Daphnia pulex: one gene and its partner. Each later gene encodes a partner of the first gene's protein in a complex. Links are inferred from orthologs where the notes say so. Each region holds a gene or a part of one and is shown on either strand. Other genes may lie near its edges.

Region 1 (4,578 bases):
GCAAAAAATCAAAAAAATTTGTGAAAAAACAAAAGAATATCACCAGTTTACCACAACCATAAGTTGTTATACACTGATTATGAATAAACAATTTCCTGGTGCATATTTGATTTCACGCTCACGTATAGACCTATTGTTGTTTGAAAGCTTGACTTTAACGACCGCAAACACCTCCCTTTTGATTTTTCTCTTGCCAAACGTGTAAAAAACAAAAACGAAGTGCGTCATCCATTGAAAATGACTGAATTTTCTCCGGCGGATGCATGTGTACGGTTTCCTGTGCGGTTCTCTTTTATTTTTTTAAAAAATAAGACAAACGAATAGAATTTTATTTCCTACTTTTTTGTTAAACCACTTCAAAAAGTCCATAACTGAAGAAGAGAAAGATGGATCGGATGTTTATCGCATTCCTATGACCCCGTCAACGCGAACTGCGTTTCATTTTTCTTCTTTTTCAAAGAAAAATCTAAAAAAAACATTTCCAATAAATCGTTGGGTAGGAATCCAACAGATGGCATTGAAACTCGCCATGTTTTTAATGCGCAATTTTCTTGGCATTGGCAATCGAAAATGATCGCCAGTGGGGGGGAAACAACAAAAAAGAAATGGAAGAAAGGGAATGATCAAAAGAATGTCAGTAGCGTTCAAATCAGAAAAGGCTTGAGGCGCACGCACCAACTCGCGCTGAGTCATCACCCGCAAACGCATTCTTCCCCGTCGACCGGAATTTAAAATGTAAAACATTTCTGTATTGAGAAATAATGCTCCGAGCGTTCGCATTGCCTCACTCTGTGGCATCCGCGCACCCAGCAAATCAACTTTGACGTTTACAACACACACGTACACAAAAGAGTGTCAAAAAACACCCCACAAAATCGGATGGAGGGAAAAGAATCATGATCAACCGCAACAACAACAAGTTGTTGCGGTTCCAACCCCCCATGAAAATGCTAATTAGAAAAAAGAAGATTGTGTTTTTAAACATGATGGGCAATTAATATAACGGGCGATCGAGGCACAGACGCACTTAAAACATTTGTAAATTGTTTAGTTTGGTTTTTTTAGAACCACAAACCTCCGTCGTCATCCTCATCACGGGATGAATTTGGGCGGTTCGAGTGGTGACGACTACGACCTTTGTTATTGGCGCTGGCAGCAACGGGTTGGTCATCGCGAATTTCACCTTCTTCCTCCGACTCGCTGACTTGCAAATCGTCGCGAATGTCCTCGTCTTTACTGGGCCCGCACGAAAAGAATTCCGCTTCCGGATCGTAATTGGCGTCCACGTCCACCACGTCCATGGCGACCTCTTCCAACTCTTCGTCGTCGTCATCCTCGTCTTCGTCCTCCTCTTTTTCACTGGCCGAGTACTGAAGGTCGTCCAGCACGTCGGTTGCCTTCCGCTTAGATCCGCGTGGAGACGAGAAACTGACCCGCGGAGAATTTCCCTTTGGAGTCGGTGACCTGTTGATAAAAATGACATTAATTGATGACAAATAATTCCGGATGAGAAAATATGATACCCTTTGTTTTTGGCTGGACGGCCTCGCTTGCCCTTGGGTTTCACTGCGCCGGAAGGCCCAGGTTGAGCGAAATTATTCGAGGCCGATTTCCTGCTTTTCTTAGTCGGCCGGACAGGCGATTCGGCTTCGGGATCCCATTCGTCCTCACCGGGACGATCTGGCGTTTCCATCATGTCCATCGACTCCATCATGTACTCATCCTCGTAACCTTCTTCACCCACGTCGAGGAAATCGTTTTCGGCTTGCTCCATGGCCTTCTTCTGAGCAATGCGGATATTACTCTCCAATTGAGTCAGGTGGTCGTCGTACTGCGACGTAATAAAATAGAAAGGGAAAATTAGCATTTCTTGAAAAGAACCAAAATGGATGACATTACCTCTTCGAGAGTATCTCGACAAATACGTCCAAGGGCACGGGCCTTCTCTGTAAACTGCGACTCCTCTCCGTTGTAGGCGATGCTGTTCTCCAGGATCAGGTCGACGTCGTAGAGGAACTCTTCGCGGTTGTGGTACTTGTGCGCTTTGACTTTCTTGGCCACCGTTTCCAAATCCATCGGATTTTTGACGATGGTGTAGTAATCTTTGACGAATTTCTTGTTGACGGGCTTGAGGAACGGCCAGGCCTCTGGCAGAGGCTTCAACTTTCCGTTGATGATGTTGTCGAGGACGTAGGAAAAGGCCACCTGATCGTCGTCATCCAGCAACGGATTGATGGCCTTTTCCAGCCTCATGAACCTCTCTTCCTTCTGGGAAAGCCTTTCGATGCAGAGATCCAGCATCCGCTTGGCAGCTGTGGTCAAAATGCTTTTATCTCCATTATACAACGTGGAATTCTCCAGGATGAGGTTGACGTCGGACAGGAAATCCTCACGGCTCTGGTATCGTTTTTGCCGGATGTTTTCCCGGATCGTCTGAAGGTCCATAGGTCGAGTAACGATCCGGTAATAATCCGGCACTGTTTTGCTGCTCACCGGGAACAGGAAAGGCTGGACATCGGGTAATTCCCTCATCTCATTGAGGATTTCCTCCAACATGGTGGAAAGTGTCACGACAGGGTCAGTCCTTCGTCGATTGGCCGTCTTAGTTGTATGTCTGCTCAGGTAGTCGCAATGCGTCACTGTACCTGCTCGCCTTCTCTTTCGACCCGACATGGCTTCCTTGGGCACTGTGAACAATCAAAAATCAATGTCAGGTAATCCCCCCCAAATATAAAATCAATAATAAACAAACCTTTAAGAACTAGCGAACGTCGCTTGATTTCCTCGGCGTGTTTGACCAGCTTGCCGGACAATTTCACTTTGGTACCGTCGACATTGACCAATTCTTCATCTTCGCTAAAGATTTGCTTTTCAATTTCCTCCTCTTGATCCTCCGTCATGGCCACAACCATCGGTGGCAACGGGGTGGTGTTTTGATAGAGCGGGCAAGCTTTATTGGTCCTCATGTGACCCACCTATCGATACATTAGCATAATTAATAAACAGAAACAAGGCCGTTAATTACAAGGAAAGTTACCTGTCCGCAGGCACCGCATTTCATTTTCAAATCGGGCTTCATCTTGACTTTACGACGGCGATTGTTAACGATGCCTAATTTCTCTTTTTCTTGATTGCGTTTGAGTCGTCTGAGTTGCTCCTGGATTCGACGTTTCTCACGTTTCATTTCCTCCTTTTGGTGCTCGTCGGGCGTGGCAAACTGTTTGATGAAGGCGTCATCTTTGGTCGTTCGTATTCGGACGTAAGTGTCGATGATGGCCGGTTTGCGAACCAATTCAACGCGGGTGTAGTCTTTGCCCTCGGCGTTTTTGAAGGTCCGGAAAATTTTGAGCACTCGACCGGCCTGTCCGGCTCCTGCCAGCGGCGGTTGAGATGAACTGTCTTCTTCGTCCAGTCCTACACGGCTCTTATCTTTCTTCATGGAGCCCGATCCTTCGCCGAGGATCATCTTTTGCAATTCACGACGCTCCTGTTCTTCCCGCTCTCGGCTCAACTGGCTGGACGTCTTTTTATTGGCCAGCATGTTTTCAATGTTTTTACCCATTTCTTCGATATCAGAAATGTCTTCCTCCTCTTCGCTTTCGCCTTCGTCGGTGGACAAAACTTCGTTCGAGGCCAGGACTCGGTTTTGAAGATCAAAAATGCGTTGACACTCCTCCTTGTATCGCTCCTGATGCTCGGCAATGGAGAAGCGATTACCACGGGAGAATTTGTCCATGCCTTCCTCGCCGGCCTTGGCCTTTTCGGTGGAAAGTGTTCGGACGACGTCAATAACTTCCCAGCGGGAGAGTTTCTTGATTTCCTCCTCAGGTACGCCGTGTTTCCTCAAAATTGCTTTTGCGTTGTTGAGTGACAATCGACGCAAATCGGCGTCGGTGCCCGTCACAATACGTTTAGGTTGAGATTCCAGCTCTTCCTTGTTGATGGTCGGTTTGTTGGGAACGCGGACGTAGGAGAAACCTTCGCCACAACCGGTAGGATCTGCCGGACCTGTTAATTGCAGGAGACATTTGTTTTTCATGGCCTGGACGTAGGCGCGGGTGGTGTTCCATGGGGCTACTTTGACTTCGTCGTCCATTTTCAGTTGCTGGTCTTCGTCGTCATCCTGCTCAGGTGCGAAAAGGAATTTCTCACCGTAACCGGCGTCTTTCAAACGCTGTTCGGCCGCGATCATACTGAAATAGGCGCAACATTGCTCCGGCGACACTAACGCTCGAAGCTCTTCTTCCGAAGGTAACCGGAAATCCGGCCGCAATACCCACCTGTTGAATTTGTCGGTAACCAAAAATGAGCAATTTGGACATCCGTTGGAGTATGAATTATTATACTACGAAATACCAATTGGAGTCGACTCCTGTTCGCTTAAAGTCCGCGCATAGTTTCAACCGTTTGCGGATACTGCTTTCGGAATGTGCTGGGAAAGCTCGTTTAATGTCATCCATGCGGATACGACGTGGAGTGTCGGGGCTCTTCCAAAACAGTCGGTAGATAAAGACCTGAATTAAAATAAACATTTTGTTTGGATGTTTCATAGAAGACTATTAGAATGACTTTAGTTGA
Region 2 (4,310 bases), about 10 Mb from region 1:
GGCGAAAAAATAATAAATTATGTGTGCACACATGACGACCGACCGGTCGCTATACGTGTCCAAAGAAACAAGTTACGTGTGACTTTTGTCTAGCTCCAACCTTATTTGGTCTACAAAGAAATTTGAATTTTATTATCCCGTTAAGTCTCCATTTTATGGTCTAGACTTTGCTCGTTTTTCTTTTAATATTTGAACAGTTCTTTGGGATTTTTCCAAGGTTTGGTTCAAATTCAAAGGTTCACTGCGTAGCAATAGGAATTTAACCATTCGGACTGACTCAAACTGGAAACTTCTAGATCGACTCGGAAAAAACCAGGTCGATTATCTTCTATTTATACAGCGGTCTCGAGGTTCACTAGGCACGTTTACGAAAAATACGTAGCCAACTCGACAGAATTTGGTTTTTCCCGACTTGACAACAACAAAATGGATCTGTGGAAATAAGAGACAAAGTTATATGTATTTTAATTCTTATTATTATTTTTTAAAAATTGGTGTGAATCGAGGGATTAGCCTTCAAACATGCCGGCAGCGAGTAGCAAATTCCTCCGCGTGAAATGCAATGACATGACAGGAGTGGCTTTGGTCGGGTAACGTGCCAGGCGGAGCGATTCAATGGCGTTACTCCGCTTGAGAAGGTCTGGATTGTGACCCGAGATGTTGACGTCCTCTAAAGAGGACTCATCCGTCATCCGGAAGAAATCCCACAGTTGGATGGAGCCGTCCAGGGAAGACGTGGCGAACACGGTCCCGTCTCGACTGAAGGCCAAACTGGAGATTGTCATCGTGTGCCCAGGCAGGTCGGCCAATAAGTGACCGTGAGCCAGATCCCATAACAGGACTTTTTGATCAGCTCCACCGGATGCCAGAAAACGGCCGTCGGTGGAGAAACACAACGCCGAGACGGTTCCCTACACAAACAAAAAACTTGTAAAGAAAAACAAACTCATAAAAAGGATGAAAATGTTTTTACTTTATGACCAGTCATTAGCCGGACACAGTTGCCAGTTACGCAATCCCATAAACGGACGCTCCTATCGCTGGAACCTGTGGCGACGTAATTGGAATTGGGATGGAATTGGACCACGTCAACGTCTGAATAATGGCCGGCAAAGATCCTTAAAGGCTGGTGATGATCGGTGGCCCAAAGTCTGGCAGTCCGATCATGTCCGACTGATGAGAAATAGTAGCCGTGAGGGGAAAACCTCACGTCCCACACGGGGTAAATGTGGCCTTTATAGACCACCAGGCAGGTCCACGTCTGCAAACTCCACAGCCGGATCGTGGCGTCTTCCGACGATGATAAGAGTAACGTCCGGTCGTGACTGAACGAGGCAGCGTAAACCGGCCCGCAATGGCCGTGAAGGACTTTCATAGTCTCACCCGTCTTGTCGTCCATCATACGAACGAGAACATCTTCGGCCTCCTTGTCGATATCGGCCAATTGCTCGGCCGGTTTCATGGCCCGGAGTTTCTGGGGTACAAGACTCCAAACTTTGAGGATGGAATCGGAAAACCCTACGGCTAATAGTGACGAATCCTCGCAGAATTCGACGCACGTGACCCTGTCATTCACAAAAAGGGAAAAAGAAAAAAAATTATAATTTCAAATTGAATGGAAAAAATCAGGTAAATTAGAATAACTGACGTTTCCGCGCAATTCAGCATCGTGTAGAAACAAATGGACGGCAAATTGTCTGGACCAAGAGCCACCCTCTTGCTGGCTTCTCGTAGGGCCCTGACCTTCTCCAGTTTGTCGATATCTCTCCTGAAACAGAAACTCACAGCTCAACCATTTTCCTTTTTTTCCACACCATTTTTCACTGCATCTGCATCTTACAAATCTGGTAATGGCAATCGGCTGGCCGGTGGAGCATTAGGGTCGCTCTTGGCTTTCTTGTTGAGCAACGGATCCTTTTTGGGTTTCTTCTTTTTGGGCTTTTCACCACCTTCGCCGGGTTCTCCGTCCTCTTCCTCCTCGACTACCGGAAGCTGGATATCGGGCTCTTTGAGCAGACCATAGTAGATTTTGGTCTTGTTTACTGTAAGTGAAAAGAATTGGTAATTGTTTTGGGGATTTCTTTCTAATCTCTTGATTTGTGTACCTTGTCTGTTGGCCTCGCCTTCCATGGCTCCGGCTGTGGATTCAACTTGGGCTTTATTTCTCGGCACTCCTTCGTACATGTCGACGTACAAGTGTTCCTGAATGACGTTCATGACAATTGATTGGTTCTTGTCCTGCAAAAACCGCTTCAAAACCGAGTAAGTATCCCGGGACATTCGAACGGTGAACTGACTTGATCTGTTTAACAATTTAAGTTTTTATGATTGACGATTTTATTTAAAAAAAAAGTGATTTGTTACTTGAAATTCTCCATGAGATCACTGCCTTTCATGTGTTCTTTTTTGGTAATAAAAGAAACTTTTTTAAGATCATCCTGATAATAATCTTCCTGATCTGTTGAAAAACGTTCCATAAATTTAGCGGCTTCTGATTCATGTTGGTTGTAAATCATTTCCAAATACATGTGGACAAATAAAGGGTACAATACTAGGGACAGCTCATGCTGAAAAGTAAACAAATTGAAATTATTATTTGAAATTGAGTTGAATATCTTTTGACCATACTTTATAAACATCCAGCGAGCTTTCCACAAATCTCCTGTAACTTAGGTAAGCTTTTTCGTAGGCATTTGGGTCTCCTTCGCTCTTGTATGATGAGAGCAAATTTGTTGCCTCTGAATCCACTTGAAGAGCTTGTGCATCTCGTAATTGATCCTCCTTGAGCCGTGCTTCTTTTTTCAAAATATCAGCCGTCCCCTAATACATTGTAAATAAATGAGACGCCGAAATTTAAAAATAATCATGTCATTTTCAGTTACTTTCAGGTTGTGCTTCTGAAGAAACTGTAATACGGCCGCAAGGGTATTGGAGTCGACATTTTCTGGTTCTACAGGTTGAACTGCACTGTTTTCACTTGGAACTTCACTGTTTTGACTTTCAGATGCTTCAATTTTCGCGTTTGAATTACTTGTTTGAGATATCTGATTCATATCGAACTCCATTTTTCCTTTTTTTTTTCGTTGTAAACAACCCCGACAGCGGGTTTGCATTGTGCCAGTTATCAAATTTATTTACTAAAATATTAATTAAAACAATACTTTACCCATAATAAAATTGCTAATTTTTCTAGCATCAAATTAATATAGGTTTTAATATGTTTTACGATATAATATTTCAACTATTTTTAAAGAAAGGAGTGGAAACGGAAATAGGCAATGTAGGAGACCATCAGGCACTGGCTCTCTCACTCTTCTCTGCAGTCTTTCCTAGGTAAGTTCATTCTTGGTTTTACTGAGTTAACAAAATCCAATATCATCCAACAATTGCCTCGTTTTCAACATCTCTAACCGACTGTTTCGTTTTCCTTGTTTCATTTAGAGACCGACTGCATCATGAGAGCTAAGGTAATTATCGTTTTTCTACCTATTCTATGTGTTTCATGTATCGGTGTACTGTGATGCTTGTCTCGAGGCTTGTGAATCTAATGGCCGGCTCTTTCTTTCTTTAGTGGCGTAAGAAGCGTATGCGTAGGCTTAAGCGTAAGCGCAGGAAGATGCGTGCTCGCTCCAAGTAAATCCATTCTCAACCACTCGCAGTCACATGGAAGCAAATGGCAGTCTGATTCTTAGGTAAGTTCACTAGTTTTAATGACGCCGTGTAAATTGTCTCTAACTGTTCTGTTCTTTCACTAGGTAATTCTGGGTCAGCTGTCATCCAGAACCAGAAAACTAATTACCACCACGAGTTCCCACTTGGACAAAAGCTGCTGAAATTTGGCTGTAAAAAAAATTACCTCTTGTGAAATGTCATTCGTATTTGTACCATGTGCATCAATATAGATTCGCCTTTTCACAAGAATATCCAAATTTTTCTCGTTATTTCTCCACTCATTTCAACTTCCAAAGTGCAAAGGCTTATCAGTATCAGTAAAGCCAATTAAAGAAAGAATGAAATGAAATCAACGGGCAAGGCAAGAAATGTACATTTCCTGATATAGCAGCGTTACTTACACGATATCCAAGTTAGGACATTATTCGAAAGATATTGGGAGGGCCACGATCATGATCAAGGAGAGAAAAAGCTAAATAGGTATATAGAGAAGAAATGTGTGGAACACCTACATTGATTTGTATATAAAAAAAAAAAAAGGTAATCAAGGTTTCACAAAGCTTGATATACAAAAGTTTTGAAGGGCGGGGGGGAGGTTCGAGTATACACAAAAGAAACGGGGGGAAGAAATTCTACAC

What was found.
Region 2: transcription initiation factor TFIID subunit 1-like (region 1) and transcription initiation factor TFIID subunit 5-like share a complex: the UniProt entries of both Caenorhabditis elegans proteins name them as parts of the TFIID basal transcription factor complex. The link is inferred for Daphnia pulex from reciprocal best matches to the Caenorhabditis elegans genes taf-1 and taf-5.

The regions. Positions count from the first base shown.
Region 1 is NC_060026.1:11,812,814-11,817,391, forward strand, and holds the end of transcription initiation factor TFIID subunit 1-like, read right to left. Parts: intron 4,515-4,578; coding exon 4,357-4,514; intron 4,281-4,356; coding exon 3,038-4,280; intron 2,976-3,037; coding exon 2,753-2,975; intron 2,688-2,752; coding exon 1,900-2,687; intron 1,832-1,899; coding exon 1,524-1,831; intron 1,465-1,523; coding exon 1,062-1,464; 3' UTR 728-1,061; downstream 1-727. UniProt on the Caenorhabditis elegans protein: The TFIID basal transcription factor complex plays a major role in the initiation of RNA polymerase II (Pol II)-dependent transcription.
Region 2 is NC_060026.1:1,544,162-1,548,471, reverse strand, and holds transcription initiation factor TFIID subunit 5-like, read right to left. Parts: upstream 3,101-4,310; 5' UTR 3,066-3,100; coding exon 2,883-3,065; intron 2,821-2,882; coding exon 2,629-2,820; intron 2,568-2,628; coding exon 2,365-2,567; intron 2,303-2,364; coding exon 2,106-2,302; intron 2,043-2,105; coding exon 1,841-2,042; intron 1,769-1,840; coding exon 1,649-1,768; intron 1,566-1,648; coding exon 974-1,565; intron 912-973; coding exon 510-911; 3' UTR 442-509; downstream 1-441. UniProt on the Caenorhabditis elegans protein: The TFIID basal transcription factor complex plays a major role in the initiation of RNA polymerase II (Pol II)-dependent transcription.